Mus musculus: one gene and its partners. The protein of the gene in region 2 interacts with the protein of the main gene of each other region in a pairwise test. Links are inferred from orthologs where the notes say so. Each region holds a gene or a part of one and is shown on either strand. Other genes may lie near its edges. The genes, in order: Fosl2, Ddit3, Cebpa and Dbp.

The links.
Region 1: the proteins of Ddit3 (region 2) and Fosl2 interact in binary tests that used the Homo sapiens proteins (3 or more experiments, as listed by UniProt). The two-hybrid records come from large-scale screens. The link is inferred for Mus musculus from reciprocal best matches to the Homo sapiens genes DDIT3 and FOSL2.
Region 3: the proteins of Ddit3 (region 2) and Cebpa interact in binary tests that used the Homo sapiens proteins (3 or more experiments, as listed by UniProt). The link is inferred for Mus musculus from reciprocal best matches to the Homo sapiens genes DDIT3 and CEBPA.
Region 4: the proteins of Ddit3 (region 2) and Dbp interact in binary tests that used the Homo sapiens proteins (3 or more experiments, as listed by UniProt). The link is inferred for Mus musculus from reciprocal best matches to the Homo sapiens genes DDIT3 and DBP.

The regions. Positions count from the first base shown.
Region 1 is NC_000071.6:32,135,066-32,139,307, reverse strand, and holds the start of Fosl2 (fos-related antigen 2), read right to left. Parts: upstream 2,837-4,242; 5' UTR 2,605-2,836; coding exon 2,503-2,604; intron 1-2,502.
Region 2 is NC_000076.6:127,289,276-127,293,598, reverse strand, and holds the start of Ddit3 (DNA damage-inducible transcript 3 protein), read right to left. Parts: upstream 2,807-4,323; 5' UTR 2,708-2,806; exon of another isoform or gene 2,601-2,707; intron 1-2,600. UniProt on the Homo sapiens protein: Multifunctional transcription factor in endoplasmic reticulum (ER) stress response. Plays an essential role in the response to a wide variety of cell stresses and induces cell cycle arrest and apoptosis in response to ER stress.
Region 3 is NC_000073.6:35,117,848-35,122,134, reverse strand, and holds Cebpa (CCAAT/enhancer-binding protein alpha), read right to left. Parts: upstream 2,843-4,287; 5' UTR 2,828-2,842; coding exon of another isoform or gene 2,717-2,827; coding exon 1,637-2,716; 3' UTR 207-1,636; downstream 1-206. UniProt on the Homo sapiens protein: Transcription factor that coordinates proliferation arrest and the differentiation of myeloid progenitors, adipocytes, hepatocytes, and cells of the lung and the placenta.
Region 4 is NC_000073.6:45,704,069-45,708,101, reverse strand, and holds the start of Dbp (D site-binding protein), read right to left. Parts: upstream 2,856-4,033; 5' UTR 2,479-2,855; coding exon 2,340-2,478; intron 1,497-2,339; coding exon 1,086-1,496; exon of another isoform or gene 527-1,085; coding exon of another isoform or gene 388-526; intron 1-387. UniProt on the Homo sapiens protein: This transcriptional activator recognizes and binds to the sequence 5'-RTTAYGTAAY-3' found in the promoter of genes such as albumin, CYP2A4 and CYP2A5. It is not essential for circadian rhythm generation, but modulates important clock output genes.

The DNA of each region.
Region 1 (4,242 bases), on a different chromosome or scaffold from region 2:
CCACAGGTCAGTGGGGAAGTACTAGGTACTTAGTACTAAGACGCAGTATTAAGACCTTATGAAGCTAGATGTCGCGGGGGGGGGGGTCGGGGGGGGAGTGCCAGACAGCAAATTTATGGGGATACAGGACCCCACAAACAAGGAGAACAGGGGGAAAATAGTATGCACTTGCACAAGGAAAACCAGGAACTTCTCACAAGTTCCACTGATTGGATTGGTCCACCGTGCAGTCATAAAGGAGGAAGGCCCAGTCACTAACTGCCAGGAAAGCTTCCCCATGTAGAGGGCTGGGAGCAGAGCTGATTACAGACTTTATCTGGCATGTAATAAAGTTACCTTGAGCCCAGATTGGGGTGGGGTAGCAGCACAGACTTGGGAAGTAACAAAAACAGAGGCCTATCACTGGGACCACAGAACAGTTTTATAGACAGCCAGATCAGGGAGGGGGAAGCCTTCCCCCTGTTCCTCGTCTCCTACCCACCGCCCCGACAAGGCTGAGAGTTGGCTTAAGTGGCATTACCTTGCCAATCCCTCTGGTTTGAAAGACTTCTTGCTCATAAGGCTGAGCAGAATAGGCAGCTATACCTGAGAATCGCATGCACTGGTTGCTGCTAATTGCAAAATCCTCCTGTGTTACAGCATGCTAGGAATTAGCCAACAGCTGCTTTTTGCTTGGGTAATGAGGCCCTATTACACACTGCTGGACGGAGCTCTCTTCCTTCATCCGAGCATCGGTTTCCTGTCTGATTTGCTTCCAAAACAGGGAATTGCCTCCGCTCACATCCTGGGCTCAAAGCCCTAGTGACACAGATTATTCAGTTGGGGCACTGATGTCCGGTCTGACTTCCCATCCAGGCCCCAGAGTCTGAGCAAAGCCAGGCAGGGAGATTGTACTGTCAGTGCTCACTGTCTTGGTCTCATTAGTGGAAGAAACAGAAACGCAAAGCTTCTATGTTGGTTGGAAAGGAGAGGTACATGGGGTGGGGTTATTGGATTGGAAAGTAGGGGACAACAGGTATAAAGGACTCTAAACCCATTGATGAGTGATGTTTGGGTTCAACCCAAAACACCAAATGTACTGGGATGCAAACATAAGCGACTACTTCTCAGGTATGATTTGGGTGTTCAGTAGTAAGAAAGGGTCCACTGACTGGACCCTCAATGCTCAGACCAGGCTGTCTACAGTGGGTGCTTAGTAGGTATGGGGCTTGGGAGGAGCTAGACACAGAAAAGTCATTTAGAAGGACTCCCCAGATATGGAACATTACTTTGAGAGAGGTGCCCCTCTTGTCAGATTACAAAGAAAGCCATATTTTTATTATATTTCCCAGCTCACTCCACCCTTCCCTGGAAGACCCCTGACCTCCTATCTGGTTGACTTCTAAAGGTCAAAGTCAAGGCCATGGCTATTGGCTTATGGAGTAACTCTGGCTGCAGCCAGCTTGGCTAGGAACTCCCAGATGCTTGCCAAGGTGGGCTTCAGGTGGCAGAGGACCTTTTGAGTTCATGCAATTCCCTCACAAGATGGTGTTTGTGGTTCCTGCGACACAGGCCAGGTACCCTACCACCCCTACCGCCCCACCAATACCTGTCTGGTACCTACAAAGACACAGATTACAGGCACAATCCTTCAGTGCAAACCAGTCTGGCTGCTTTAGAAAGAGATGTTTTTCTACTTCTAAATCCACTCAGGAGCTCAAGCGATGTGTCTCTTTCTCCCACTTCTCTCTGACAGCTTCTTTGCCCCAGGTACCCCCAAGCCCCTCAAAGTTCTGCTGGGGGGGGGGGGAAGTACAGGCTCCTGCCCAACCCTTACCGGAAGCTGGAGGGGGGGTGTCACAGGAGGTGTCAAGAGCCAATCAAAGCCAGCTTCTTCCTTCCTGACCTTCGCACCTAATTCCCAGGGGCAACCCTCGCCCTCACTCCCAAACACTTGAAGGAGCCCAGCTTTGTTTTTGAGTCCCCAATCCCTTTCAGAAAACAGCTAAGACCGAAGAATAACAGAAGAAGAAAGGGTTAAAAAGCCTTCCCCCCCGCCCCCCCCCGTAGGGTCCTTGACGGCTGGGAGGGGCTTAGGGGGCGCAAAAATTTTCTTGCCTATCCACTACCTAGAAAGAGGAACGTGAAAAGGGAGGGAGAGCGGCTCGGAAGGAGGCAACAGGCTTCCCGGAGGGGACCTGTAATTTCAAGAGCTTTTCTGGAAAATTAAGTACGAAAAGGGGGAGAGGGTGTCGTTGGCTCTTCAAGCCCACTCTCCACTTGCTTAAAAAAAAAGAAAAGAAAAGAAAAGAAAAAGAAAAAGAAAAGTGGAGAGTGGGTAGGGCGGAACAGGAAAAAAAAAAAGAAAAAGAAAAGAAAAGAAACCCACAACTTACAGCGGTGAAGTATTTTTCTAGCCTGGCTAGGAAAGGGAAAAGAAGGAGGTTGGGGGTGGAGGCAGTGGGAGCAAGAAGAGGGTAGGAGTCTGCCCGCGCCGCCAGGTGCACCCCGGCCCGCACGTACCTGCTGGCCGCCGCCACCGCTGGAGTAGGACTCGGCGTGCGCAGGAGAGCCGCTGCTGCCCCGGGACGAGGTGTCAAAGTTCCCGGGATAATCCTGGTACATGATCCGCGGTGGGGGCCGGAGAGGAAACAGGGTGGTTTTCTTCCCCGCCCTCGCCGCGGCCGCGCACAGTCTGCTGCGCGCTCGCTGGTCCACCGGCCCGGCCACGGGCTGGGCTTTTCGCTCCCGGGATGTCCCCTAACCAAGGCAGACAGGAGGCAGCGACACTCGGGAAGTGACCCCCCCGATCGCCGCGCACCGCACTTCGTTTCTGCTCTGCAAGCTCCGCGGAACCGGTTGTCCACCGAGTCCCTCCCTCTAAAAAGTCGGCGCGTCCCTCGGTCCCTCCCCTGCGCGCGCCCTTCCGCCCCCGCGCGCAGCCGGAGCTCTGCCGGGACCCACGGGCTGGAGAAAAATGGGCAACGCAAAAAGACTAGGAGCCCCGCGGGTGTCGCTTGGCAGCTCTGGGGGACTCCCTCCCCGATCTCTCAGGGCGCCAAAAAGGCGAAAAAGAAAAGCTGCCGGTTGGGAGAAACTTCTGTTTCCTCCTTTTAGAAAAGGAGCCCGAGAATAAACTTCCTGTGGCCAACTCGCCGCCTGAGTTTCCCGGCGACTCGGACACTTGACTTAGGACAAGGCGGTGAGCGCCGGTCCAGCGGCCCCGATCGCGCCGGTGGGACAGCGCCCGTGGGATTCTAGGCTGAGCGGTGCTGAGAGGGACGTGGCTCCGCGTCGCAGTGACCTGCACCCCGTGCTGGCTCCAGGACCTGCCAAGCCTCGCGCTTCTCGCCTCGCTTCGCCCTCCCCTCTCTCCCCCTCTTTCTTGCGCTCGCTCTCTTTCTCTCTCTCTGTCCCTGCCGAGCGCCGCTCACTGTCTCGCTTCGAGCCCCTGCGCTCTGCCCGAGATGAGTCACTACAATGGCACGAGTTCAACTCCACACTCTTTATTCTCCAGCCCCGCACCATGTGGATCCACTCACGTCAACCTTAGACTCCACCTTGCTGGGAGGAGCGCTCGAGGCGGCGGGGGAGGAGGCCTGGGACAAGGAGGAGGAGGAAGAGGCGCGGGAGGGGAGGGGAGAAGGCGGGCGGGGCGCTCCCCTCCCGGCCTCGCTCGCGGTCGCGCTGACGCCAGCCACAGACCCCGCGCGAGGAAGGCGGGAGGCGGGGAGGGTGGGAGAGCGCGGCCCTCGCACTACGGGGGCGCCGAGGCCGCCCGCGTTCTCGCCGAACTCCTCCACCCCCCCTGGGGCGCAGCGCCCTTGGTCTGTTCCATTGGCGCACGTTGCCAAAGATGGTCATTTGCGTTAGAGGACGCGAATGCGGGTTTCCTCGCCTTCGGGTGACGTGGAGGGAGAGGGATTCCCTCGCCTGCTCCCGCCTGCGCCCTGGCCTCCCTACCTCCTCCCCTCCATCCCCAACCAAAAGGAAGGGGCGCGGGGCGGGGCCCCGAAAGCGGCCGCGCCGGCCTGGGCTCCGGGTTTTAGAAAAGGAAAAAAAAAAAAAAAAAAAAAAAATCGCAGCCCTGAAGACGAGACGGGCGGCTCAGTGCGGCGCCACCGCGAGGCAGAGAGCCCGGCGCGCAGAGCTGCTCGCGGGGAGGGCGCGGCCGTGCGCAGTCGTCCGCACCCTCAGCGGCGCCGCCCGGTACAGCGGGCGTCCTGGGCGCACCGGGCACCCGCGCCACCCTGCGGCCGGGTC
Region 2 (4,323 bases):
CCCTCTCTAGATCCTTTCTAACTCCTCCTAGCCCTTTTCTAGATCCTTTCTAAAATGGGTTGTGAGATGGTTTCTTTGTGCATCCCTGGGCATCCTGGAATTCTGGAACTCAACAACTCTGCAGACCAGGCTCCAGTTCTTCTCTTGTAATACACACACACACATACAGAGGTGTGTGTGTCTTGCAGCGGGTGTGTCCCTGAAGCCATTTCTTCTCTTGTAATACACACACACACACAGGCGTGTGTCTTGCAGCGTGTGTGTCCCTGAAGCCAACTCCAAGGACAGAGGCAGGCTTAACTTTATTTTTAGTTGCTGACATTTGCCGTCTTGATTACATAATAGCAAAGTCCTGGCCAACTAAGTTTTCTCTAAATCCCAGATAGACCTCAAGTCCGCCAAAGGGAGACAGAACTAGAGGGAAGGAAGAGTAAACTCAGCAGTGCTTGCTCAGATTCCATCCCCCCACTGGCAGCCTCAGTGCAGACCTGCTCTGGGATCTCCAGCTCCTTGGCAGTGTTGAGCAGGCGTTCAGCTTACATGAAAGGCCTTTCCTACCAAGGCTGTATAGTTCTTACTAAATGGCAACTCTAGGTGCTGAAAGCCAAAAACTTTGGTATCCTTGATGCCCCTTTCTCAGATACCACAGCTCAGCCTAAAGCACTGACAACTTTAAAAGTACCCCAAACCTAAGTATTTCTCATTACTACATTATTTCCAGATGCAATTTTTTATTTTTCATTTATTTATTTTTTTGGTTTTTCTTGACAGGGTTTCTCTGTGTAGCCTTGGCTGTCCTGGAACTCACTGTGGACAAGGCTGGCCTCGAATTCAGAAATCCGCCTGTCTCTGTCTCCCAAATGCTGGGATTAAAGGCGTGCACCACCACTGCCTGGCTCCAGATATAAATTTACCATACATTTCTTTCCCTGGATTATTTTGGAAGCCTCTTTGAAATCTCTCCTTTCTTTCTTCCTTTCCTTTCCTTTCTTTCTCTTTTAGACAGGGTCTCACTATGTAGCTTTTGCTGTCCTGGAACTTGCTTTGTAGACTCTCTGGCTTTGAATTTAGATCTGCCTGCCTTTCAAGTGCTGGGATTAAAGGCTGTGCCACTATGTTCAGCTGAGACCTCCTGTTTCTATTCTTGTCTTTTACTTTATTTTCACGGCTGTGGGTTGACCTAGGGTCCTCTACATACCAGGCAAGCAGTGTACTATTGAGCTACATACCTAACCCTTTGTTTTTGTATTTATTTTGAGTCAGGGTCTCATAATGTAGCCCTGGCTGGCCTGGAGCTCAGAGATCTGCCTCTCTGAGTGCTGGAATTAAATGCATGTGCTATGATCATTCCTCTGCTCAGATCCCCCAATGGCTTCCTGTTTCATGATTGTTAAAGATTAGCATCATGAGGGTGCTTGCAAGGCTCTATGAGACCGGCTGCTTGAGTTTCCTTTCATCACCCTCTCCTGCTTACTCTAGTCCTGTTCCTAAAGATACCGGCATGGCATGCTTATCTTAACTCTGTTGCTCAGCCTCTCCCTTCTATAAAGCTCTAACACCGGGGCTTGGCTCACAGGCTTGGCTTCTGATGACAACCTCTAGTCACCGCCCTGAACTATTCTGCCCTGCTTTTGTTTTTTTTTTCCCTTTTGCTTTATACTGAAATGTAAGTTTTATTGAGAACAGTTTTATCTTTTGCTCCTAATATACCCTGGGTCCCCAGATACTTGGTACATAGTGGGTGCTTATTAGGCATTTGTTAGGAATGAATGGGGAAAAAGCCCCTCCCCCAAGTTCCCTTATAGAGAATTAAGCCCACTGAGCCTAAAGGCAGAGCGGAGCTGGCTGTCTCTGGGGACTGCAGATGCAATATTGCCCTGAGTGTTTCTCTGCAGGGTTGTCCTCTAGGGAAAACTCCCTTGGTCTTCCAGTGTGTGGGACCTGGCTTTCATCAGCAGAGGAGCCCCAGGCCTGAGGGTGCAGAGACAAACAGTGGGCTGGCCTGACGCAATGGTTACACAGTTTAGTTAGGAGACGGGACTGAGGAAAGAAGCAGAGATCAATCAGCCCTGGGAGAAGCAGAAGACCCTGGAGAGATCCCAAATAATTTCCCATAGTTAAAGAGATCCAGGCTGCTCTCTTGTATGGAAACCTAGAAACCTCTGGGGAAAAGGGAAAAACCCATCTATGCTCCTCCCACCAGCACCCCCACTCGCAAAGATCTGTCAGTCTTCGCGTTCTCTTGAACTTGAGAGTCAGCTACTAACGTGGCCATGTTGGCCCCTTGACTGAGGCGCTTCAGCTTGAAAGAGTTGGGGGGAATGAGGCTGGTGAAGAAAAGGCTGAGACAGCCAGAGTCCCCGACTTTGGGGGTGTGTCCTGCTGCCCCGCCTTTCCTGCGAACTGCCCAGGCCTAAGCTGGCCCGCAGTTCGCACTACAGAGACAAGTTCCCGAAGGCAACCGGAGTCCCTCTGCAGAGTGGGGACCAACTCGAGACAAGGGAACGGGAATGCAATCGCCCAATGCAAGAGAGGGCCTGTAAGCACCATTCCTGAATCAGGGATTCCCGGCCTTCACCCTTCCCAGTCTACAAGCTTACAGTGGAAGGGGTGGGGCTACATCCTCCAGAACAGTTGTCTCCAACTTTATAAAATAGCTATGCTGGCCAGGATGGGAAGGTAAGGGTTAGACGGAGCCAGTACTCGCCTCTCTCCTCAGGTTCCGGCTGTTATTCTGGCTCTGTCGCTGCCACCCGCTCATCTTCAACATGATATAATCGACGTGTTAGGCTCAAGATAACTGACCTCAAGAGCGGAGAGCGAGTATCCTTTATGCTGTCCGGCCCCTCCTGGGGGGGGGGCAGGGTCCAGGAGCCTACCAATCAGAAAGCGGCACGCTGGCACTGGCTCCGCCTCATCCCTTACATCCGCCACTCAGGAGTCTCACGGCCCCACCCCCATCGCGCCCTCTGGCTTGAGAGTCTACGTTGTCTCGGACCCGGAAGTGGCTTTGGGTCACGCGGCTTCGCGGAGGAGGTGAGTGAGTCATGCGCGCGCGCGGAGGAGAGCGCGGCGAGGGAGGGGATGGGGGGGCGGGGATGATGCAATGTTTGGCAACCGGTGTCCGCGCGCGCACGCGCAGGGGACGTCGATGGTGGTGGGAGGTGCGGGAGGGGGGCTATGGGGGAGAGAGGAAAGAGGGCGGAGCGCCAGCTCCCAGTGTCCAACGGCCCCAACGGCTGTCCTTCCTGAACTTGTCTGCCCACCTCCCATCACCTTTAACTTACTCCTCCATGAAAGGCTCCCATTTTCCCTGGCCCCTCCCAGCTAATGGGCACCGGGGCTCTGGAACCTCTTTAAAGTTTCCAATTTGTTCACCTGGATTGACATCTCCTCGAATCTTTTAAGAGCTCTCCTCCTCTTTTAGCCTTCTAATGCGTCCCAAAGACTGAGTTCCTTGATAGTCCACCCGCTTCTCTCAGAGAGGCACCTTTAACGCTTGTTTCTGAATCGTCCATTACGTGCTAGGATTGAAGTTCTTTACAGAGTGTAGATTGCTGCCTCCTCCTCATCCCACCCCTGCTTTGTGTGATGCTCTTACGCCCTTCACTAAGCCCAGTATCCACCCTCTTCCTTCTCCGAGATAGCGAGTCCTGTGACTCCCTGCTGAGGAGCTGGCCTCCTGCCTCTAGCTGTCTGAGTTCACGACCTACAGTAGAGCCTGGGACGTGCATGCACTTGAACGCATGATTGCCCTGGACTGGGTCATCAGAGGAAACACAGATTCTAGTTTAATTTGTCCAAGGATTCTACCTTACTCATTTGTAAATTAAACAACGATAAAGGTAAAAAGCAGCTCTGTGGAGAAAACTTGAGTAAAAGTAAAAACATCTTGCAAAACGTATTTTTTTTTTTTTGTGCCATGAAAACAGAGGCCATGTGGTGGCCTATTACATAGTCTGTCGTAGACTCAAGAGGGGCAAGCCAGAGTTTAAGTAGAAACTGAACCAAGACCGGTTGCTATTGGATGGTGCGACGGTGACAGGTCCTTGGCCAGACTGCTCCTTCGCTCCAGACCTTCATTTCCCCTTCTGTTAGTAGAGGTGGGGGGTGGGTTGGACCAGATGGTCTCTCCTGGCCTAAAGACAGACCAGGTTGTCAGTGACAGGCAGAGGTCATGTGACTTGACAGGCTGAGGTCGTGTTGTGACATGTTGACCTGGAGAGGCGGGTCAAGTCTCTGCACACTACCCGGGAAGCCTTTGGGGCGGGGCAGGGCAAGTCGCGACTTTCATCTTTTAGGGCTGGCCCCTCCCGGACCTGA
Region 3 (4,287 bases), on a different chromosome or scaffold from region 2:
TCCAAGGGACTCAGTCTTTAAACTCAGGGTGTTCTCAGCTTAGTCCTTACCCCTTCCTTGACTGCCATGGCACATCACCAAGGTAAAGAGAGACTCCAGAGATGCAAATTTAGGACCCCAGACACAGACAATGCTGTTTCAAACGGAACCCAGCCCAGAGCAAACCTTACAAGTGGCTTCTCTCTGGTTTTAAAAAGACACCAAAATTGAGTTTGATATGTTTATATTATAGATATAATACATACGACATCTAGCATGAAACTTTGTGTCCCCCCCCCCCAAAAAAAAGAAGAGAAGGAAGCGGTCCAGCCCTGCTCCCAGCCACAGGGGTGTGTGTATGAACTGGCTGGAGGTGGCCTTCTTTCCAGACCCAGAGCCAGGGCCGTTGGGGATGGGGTTGGGTGGGTGGGGAAGCCTAAGTCTTAGCCGGAGGAAGCTAAGACCCACTACTACATACACCCTTGGACAACTAGGGGAGAGGGGGAAGCCCACTTCATTTCATTGGTCCTCTGGGAGGCAGACGAAAAAACCCAAACATCCCTAAACCAAAAAGAATGAGAGCCTCACTCAGCTCCTTCCCCCAGCCGTTAGTGAAGAGTCTCAGTTTGGCAAGAATCAGAGCAAAACCAAAACAAAACAAAAGACCAAATAAAATGGTGGTTTAGCATAGACGTGCACACTGCCATTGCACAAGGCACCGCTGGGACACAGAGACCAGATACAAGTGTTGATATCGGATGATAAAGCAAAATATTTGGGAAGCTTGTCATAACTCCAGTCCCTCTGGGATGGATCGATTGTGCTTCAAGTTCCTTCAGCAACAGCGGCTGGCGACATACAGTACACACAAGGCTAATGGTCCCCGTGTCCTCCTATCCCCCACCCCACAAAGCCCAGAAACCTAGGTCTCTGTCTCCTACCACATGGCTAACTCACAACTCAGCTTTCTGGTCTGACTGGGGGTGGTGCCCCCATTCTCCATGAACTCACCCAGGAAACCTGGCCTGTTGTAAGCTGAGTGGGGGGGGGGGGATGTAGGTGGAGGTGCAAAAAGCAAGGGATTAGGAGCCCTCCACCTCCCTGTAGCTGGGGGTGAGGACACAGACTCAAATCCCCAACACCTAAGTCCCTCCCCTCTAAAGACAGGGACTGAGGGGCAGCTCAGGGCACTGCCGGGATCTCAGCTTCCTGTATCTTCCTCCTGCCCTGGGCCTGCACCCTTCATTTTTCTCACGGGGCCAGCTGAGGCCCGAGAGGAAGCAGGAATCCTCCAAATAAAATATCAAGGCACATTTTTGCTCCCCCTACTCGGTAGGAAAAGGAGCGAGTTTTGAGTATCCAAGGCACAAGGTTACTTCCTTAATACTAGTACTGCCGGGCCCCCAGCTCAGCTCCGCGGAAAGTCTCTCGGTCTCAAGGAGAAACCACCACGGCCTGACTCCCTCATCTTAGACGCACCGAGTCCGGCTCAGAGGAAGGGAGGGGACACGCGGAGCAGGCCAGGCTTTCAGGCCACACCGGAATCTCCTAGTCCTGGCTTGCGCGGCCCGGGCAGCCTAGAGATCCAGCGACCCGAAACCATCCTCTGGGTCTCCAGCCAGGGGGCCGGCCCAAGGCGGTCCCGCAGCCGCGCGCCTCACGCGCAGTTGCCCATGGCCTTGACCAAGGAGCTCTCAGGCAGCTGGCGGAAGATGCCCCGCAGCGTGTCCAGTTCACGGCTCAGCTGTTCCACCCGCTTGCGCAGGCGGTCATTGTCACTGGTCAACTCCAGCACCTTCTGTTGCGTCTCCACGTTGCGTTGTTTGGCTTTATCTCGGCTCTTGCGCACCGCGATGTTGTTGCGTTCCCGCCGTACCCGGTACTCGTTGCTGTTCTTGTCCACCGACTTCTTGGCTTTGCCCGCACCGGCACCGCTGCCACCGCCGCCGCCTCCCGTGCGGAGGTCGGGGTGCGCACCGGCCAAGCCCTTGAGCGCGCTCCCGGGGCCAGGCAGGCCCGCAGCACCCAAGGCGGGCGCAGCGTGCGGGCTGGGCACGGGCGTGGGCGGCGGTGTGGGGTGGCCAGGCTGCAGGTGCATGGTGGTCTGGCCGCAGTGCGCGATCTGGAACTGCAAGTGGGGGGCGGCCAGGTGCGCGGGAGACGCGTGCGGGTGCGGCGGTGGCGGTGGCGGCGGTGGCTGGTAGGGGAAGAGGCCGGCCAGCGCCAGCTGCTTCGCCTCGTCCTCCTCGCGGGGCTCTTGTTTGATCACCAGCGGCCGTAGCGCGGGCGCCCCGACGCGCTCGTACAGGGGCTCCAGCCTGCCGTCCAGGTAGCCGGCCGCCGCACAGCCGTAGCCGGGAGGGGGCCCGTGCGCCCCCGCGGACATGACCGCGCCGCCGGGGCCCGCCGGGGCTCCCGGGTAGTCAAAGTCACCGCCGCCACCCGCGGGGCCCGCCGCCGCCTTGGCCTTCTCCTGCTGTCGGCTGTGCTGGAAGAGGTCGGCCAGGAACTCGTCGTTGAAGGCGGCCGGGTCGATGTAGGCGCTGATGTCTATAGACGTCTCGTGCTCGCAGATGCCGCCCAGCGGCTCCGGGGCGGCAGGTGGGGCTGGGGGCGGCGCGGGGCCCGCGCCCCGGGGAAAGCCAAAGGCGGCGTTGCTGGGCGCGTGCGGGGGGCTCTGGAGGTGACTGCTCATCGGGGGCCGCGGCTCCACCTCGTAGAAGTCGGCCGACTCCATGGGGGAGTTAGAGTTCTCCCGGCATGGCGAGCCTCGGCGGCCTCCAGCCTGCGCGTGGCGCCGCTGTCGCCGCCGCCCACCCAGTGCCCCAACTGGCTCGCGCCCGCGCAGCTTCGGGTCGCGAATGGCCAGGCCCGCGCGGGGACCGCTTTTATAGAGGGTCGGGCATCGCCCCCTGGTGTCCAAACGGGTCTCGGATCGAAGGCGCCAGTAGGATGGTGCCTGCTGGGTCTTAGAGCCCGCCTTCTCCTGTGACTTTCCAAGGCGGTGAGTGGGGAGCATAGTGCTAGTGGAGAGAGATCGTGGCGCAACGCCCACTGACTCCTGCGCTGCAAGGCGAACCCGGCTTGCAGCGCTCAGCCCCACCCCGGCGGCGCTGTCGCCCCCGCACACACGTGGTCCGTGGTTAGGCGCCCCTCCTTTAAGCCTCTAAGTCACCCACTTCCAGCCAACACTAGGGAGCCCGGGAGCATCTAGAGGCCGAGCGAGGGGAGGTGGAGGTTGGGGAGCGTTTGGAGAGAGAATGTTGGTTTTGAGCTACCGTAGTGCAGACTTGTGTTAAAAGCTGGGACTAGGCCTGTCTCCCACCCGGATTTCTAAAAGGCTGTGGCGGAGAGCCGCGGCGCGGGAGGTTGGAGACTGCTTTGGACCAGCAACCTAGCGCGCACCGCCGAGTGGCGAGGCCGGGAGCGCAGAGATTGTGCGTCTTTTTCTCTGAACTCCACGCGACCCCACGGCTTCCAGGCAGAGCACCTCTCTTTCGCCCAGCTTCTCTAGAACTACAGGGTCCCACGGGCTCTTCAGAGTAGTAGGGCGCTAGGACCCGGCGGGGAGCGGAGGCGGCCGCTAACCCCGGAGCCTGGTGGACCTGGCTCGTCCACTCGCCTAGGCTGGAAAACTTTCTTTTTCATTGCGTCTCCAGGCCAGAGCGATAGGATTGCTAGGCTTACCAGGCAGACGTTGCTACCCAGCGTGGAGCACTCTAGTCAAGTGTTCGGGACACCACCACCCCACGCCCGGGACCAGCCGGTGGGTCCTCTGAGCCTCGCGGAAAAGGACCCTAAGGAGAGCGCACAGGGGCCGCGAGAGGGCAGGGTGTTGGAGAGGAGTGAACTTGAATCGGGGACTGTGATCCCCAGGCGGGGCCCATAGCCAGGGGCCTGAAGACACAGTTTTCTTTCCCTACTGTCATTCATGGGGGCACTAATCTCGGTAGCTCGGGTGTCCAATTCCTAGCTACGAAGCCTTTCGAGCACCCACTTGGGAGCCCTCCGCGCCGCGCCGCCTACAGGCTCGCGGCTGTGGGTAGGAGTTTGCGTGCATCGGCTCCCAGCCACGTGGCGTCTCGTTCACCCTCCACCTGGATCGCGGCCGCGGAGGTCCGGGGGCAGAAGGGGCCTGGTGAGCACCCACGTCTCTCGTTTTTGCACCCCGAAGACCGCGGCTTCTTGAGCTGAGGCCTTTCGTCCTCTCGAACTCCATTTGTCCGTGTTCCGTGACCTGCTGCGCTCTAGGGTCGCAGGTCAAGACCCCCAGTGCAATGGCCTTTTTAGGCCAGGAAAGGCCCTGCG
Region 4 (4,033 bases), on a different chromosome or scaffold from region 2:
CGGAAGGCAATTCTATCATTGTAAGGCAGAAATGACTGGCCTTAAATATCCCGTGAATCTTCTAAAACCTCTAAACTTCAGACTCAGTGTTTTGTTCCCACTGCTGTGTCCGAGTCCTACTTACTGAACCCTTTCTCAGAGCTTAGACCTGTTAGACCAGCACTCCTAGGAGTGATGGAAGTTTCAAGAGCCTGGCTAAAAAAGGTTGAGTCCTGTGTCTTTAAGAACAAATAAGCCCGGGTCAGCCGAGGACACCAGTTCAGGGCCGCATCACGTGTGGCCTACAGCTTCCCCTTTCCCCTCCTCCCCAACCAAGCACCCGCACGTTCCCGGCCCCGCCTCCTCGCGCGTGAGAGCGCGTGCGCGCAGCTAGGAAGGCGGACTCACGTGGCGAGGGAATGTGCAGCACTGGTTTTTGCCTGGAGGTCGGATCAGGGACAGGTGTACCCAGGCGTCCCACATCGAGACTCCTTGTCTTGATTGGGGTCGCCTCCCTTCTTGTTCCTTTTGGTCTCAGCTCCAACATCTACAATGATTCTACCCACCCATCCCGCGCTATGGGGGAGGATCGTGGGAGAACCGGCCTGCCAAGCTCTTTGCCATCCAGATTCCCACAGTTCTGAGATCCTAGGTCCCCAACACAGGGACATGGGAAAGCTCCTCTGTAGAAGCCAGAAGAGGGATCCCGATATTCTCTTCTGCAAGACTGGGAGGCAGGATGCAACACCATCCACTTGGGGAATGGGGTGTGTGCGTGTGTAGGATCCGGGAACGTAGTACCCCGCTCTGGCCTGCTCGCTCCCATTTTTGGTGTCCTTGAAGTCCAGTCCCATCTCGTTTCCCAAAATTCTGGACCCAGACTCTGGAGATAGTACTCTCCAGTTAACTAAGGTGTTCTAAGTTTCTAGTCTTGGCTCCAAGAACATGAGGAAACTTGTCTTAGAGAAGAATACTGCCTCTCAGTGAATAATCCTTTCGCATTTGGGGACCCAAGTCCCCTAAAGGATCGCAGCATCTCATTGGGCAGACTTCCAAAAGTGTCGCGAGGCCCCGCCCTGCCCGACAGCCCCGCCCCTTCGCCGCACCTGCGCGGTGGCCGCCGGCGGCTCCCAGAGTGGCCCGCGCGGGGGCGTGCCCGGGCGAGGAGCGGGGGGAAGAGGAGCTGCAAGAGCCGGGCCCGGGGGAGGGCGCGGGAGTGCGCGCTGGAGAGGGTGCCGGCGACAGGCCCCCGGGGGGCGGCGGGCTCGGCGGTAGCCCGTGCTCCAGCAAGAAGGCGTCCAGGTCCACGTATTCCACGTCCCCGAAAGGCAAAGTGCGTTCCCACAGCAGCGGCGCAAAAAGACTCGGGCCAGCCACAGGCCCTGAGCGCCCCCGAGGGGACCCACCGCCACTAACGGCCCCACTCGGGGCATCGGCTGGGCCCGCCGTTTCCAGGCCGGGTCCCGGGACGGGGGCTGAGGGCAGAGTTGCCTTGCGCTCCTTTTCCTTCAGGAGACCTGTAGGCCAGGGAGAGACCGGATGGGGTGGAGGGACACAGGAGGGACCCCAAGTTAGAGATATGGCGGAGATACAGAGAAGTGAGGAGACGGGAGCCGTAGGGCAAAGACCCAGGGAGGTGGGTACAGGCAGGGAGAGAACCCAGAAAAAGAAGAGAGGGATAAAGACGGGGCTTGGGGAGACCCAGAGAGAAAAGAGAACAAGGCCCCAGCAATAGAGGGTCAGGGAGACGGGGACCCGGAGAGGGGGAAAAGGCAAAAGTATACAGAAGGATAGGGTTAGGGGCCCGGGAGGGGATTAAGAAACACAAGCACAAGCGACCCAGAGAACGAGGATGGAAGTTTAGAAAGAAGGGTTTAGTGACAGGGTGGGTGAAAGGTTGGGCAGGTGAGAAAGAAAAAGTGACAGCTCAGTAATTCTCCCACCCCCAGCACCCTCATCCCCTCCCCCACAGTCTGTTGGGGCTGGAAGGGGCTCCACTGCTCAGGCACATTCCTCATCCCTAGTTTCCATGTGACCCTGCGAGGCCCCGCCCAAGCCCGTGTCTGCACCGTGTGAGCATCCGACACACCCCCTCCCTTCCCCTAGGACTCCAGGGGTCCAGACTCTGAGGCCAAAGGAAAGAAAGAGGGGTCTGGCACCTAAACTCTGTCCTCAAGTAGGAACACTCCAGGGACTTGACCCTTAGGCCCTCCAGGCGTCAGATTTGGTCCTGGAGGCTGATGGACTGGAAGACCTAAGTGACCTAATGAAGACTAGCAAAGATGGGACACCTAGCTGATAGGTGCCGTGGACCACCACCCCAACAGTTGAGTCCCTAACACAGTGGGACTAGAACTCACAGCTGGCCGGTTCTTTGGGCTTGCTGTTTCCCTGCAGAAGGCTCCTCAGCCCAAGCAGCGCTCCCCCGCCAGGGGGGGCCCCAGCCGGGCCACCCAGCAGCAGGGGGCCCGGGGTCCTGTCGCTCAGAGGCCGCGCCATTGCCGTGGACCTGCTCCCAGGTTCATGAGCTCATGGAGAGTCGAAGAGATGAGATGATATGTCAGTCACCCGCACACTCCAGTGGTTCGGGCGAATGTGTCCCAGAGTCGGGAGAGCGCGGCGTGCAAGCCTCCAGGATCAGGACGCTTCAAATCCTAAGAGCGCTGCGGGGGTTCAACCAGTCAGTTCTGCAGAAAGGTGCAACTCAAAGACTGTCCCGGGAGGCTCCTATAGTCTGGGCGAGTGGGTGACCAAATCAAGCAGCTGTCTCTTTGCAACTGTGGGTCCCCAAGGGACACAGGCGCGCGCTCCTTCTGTACCAAGTGGGCGAGTCTCTGGCTCTAGCCAATTTTGCACTTCTCGCAAAGAAAGGAGCTTTGCAATCTGCACCCAGAGGTGTGCACCCAGGGGCGGAGGAGGGGGCAGGAGGAGGTGGCAGCCTTGAGGCGTGGCCAAAGCAAACTTCTTTCGCGGAAAAAAAAAAATCTAAACCAAAACACCGGACGCCAGAGCGCGCGCCCCTCCTCCGGGCCCCCTCCCTCCACTTGGGCCATGCACCCCAGCCGCGTGCCTTCCTCCGGCTTCTGGCAAGAACCAATCACGTCTCGAGCCCTTGAGACGCTCAGCCAATGAGATGAAGGGATATGCCAAGACCCTGGAGGCGCGTGAGGGGCTGAACTTGTGTAGTTGCCTCGCCTTTTGGAAGAAGGCGGGACACTGACCTATATTTGGCCAATGGGAGGAGGCGCTGGAGGCGGGACCGTGACCCACTTCGGGCCAATGAGGCAGGAAGAAGGGGGAAGCACATGGCTTTGCGCGTGCTATCGGATGCGGGTGTGGGGCAAGAGGGGTACCTCTTAAAGGAGCCGAGTGTTCACAGACTCATTGAGGAAAAAAAGCAGAACATCAATTAGAGCAGATTAAGGCAGAAAGAAGTGGGCTTCGGGAAGGATTTTTTTTTTTTAATATCTAGATGTTCCTCAATCGCGACTGATAAACCACCGAGAAACCGGAAACATTCAGTCCTTTTAATAGCTTTGTTTTGGGGTGAATCCCCTCCCCTGGTGAGGAAACTCAGAACAGGCGGGCGTAATCCTCGTTGGGGAGTCTCAGCGACCGTGAGGACCACCGTCCACTGCAAAGGGAAGCACCGGCTTGAGGGGTGTGGGAGCTGAGCACATAGGACTCTACTAGTCAGGCTGCTAAGGGGGAATGGAATATACCAAGTTGGGGGAATGATCAGCTCCTGGACCAGACCATGTAGGGAGGGAAGAAGGCCACATGGGACGTGCAGAATAGGCTGGTTTGCATAAAGGTACATGGAGAGGATATGGTCTTCTGGGCTGTACCATGTTGAGAAACCAGACAAGAAACTAACCGATTTCCCGGGGCCGAGCCACAGTGGCAGTAAGAAAGACAGAGGGATTGTACCACGCTGATTCTCAGAAAGGGAATAGCAGAAAGACTACAGCTCTAAGTAGGGTCATACCATTTGTAAACAGGTGACCTGGACCGTACCATCTTGGCAAGTAACAGTAGGCAGAGGGCATGGACC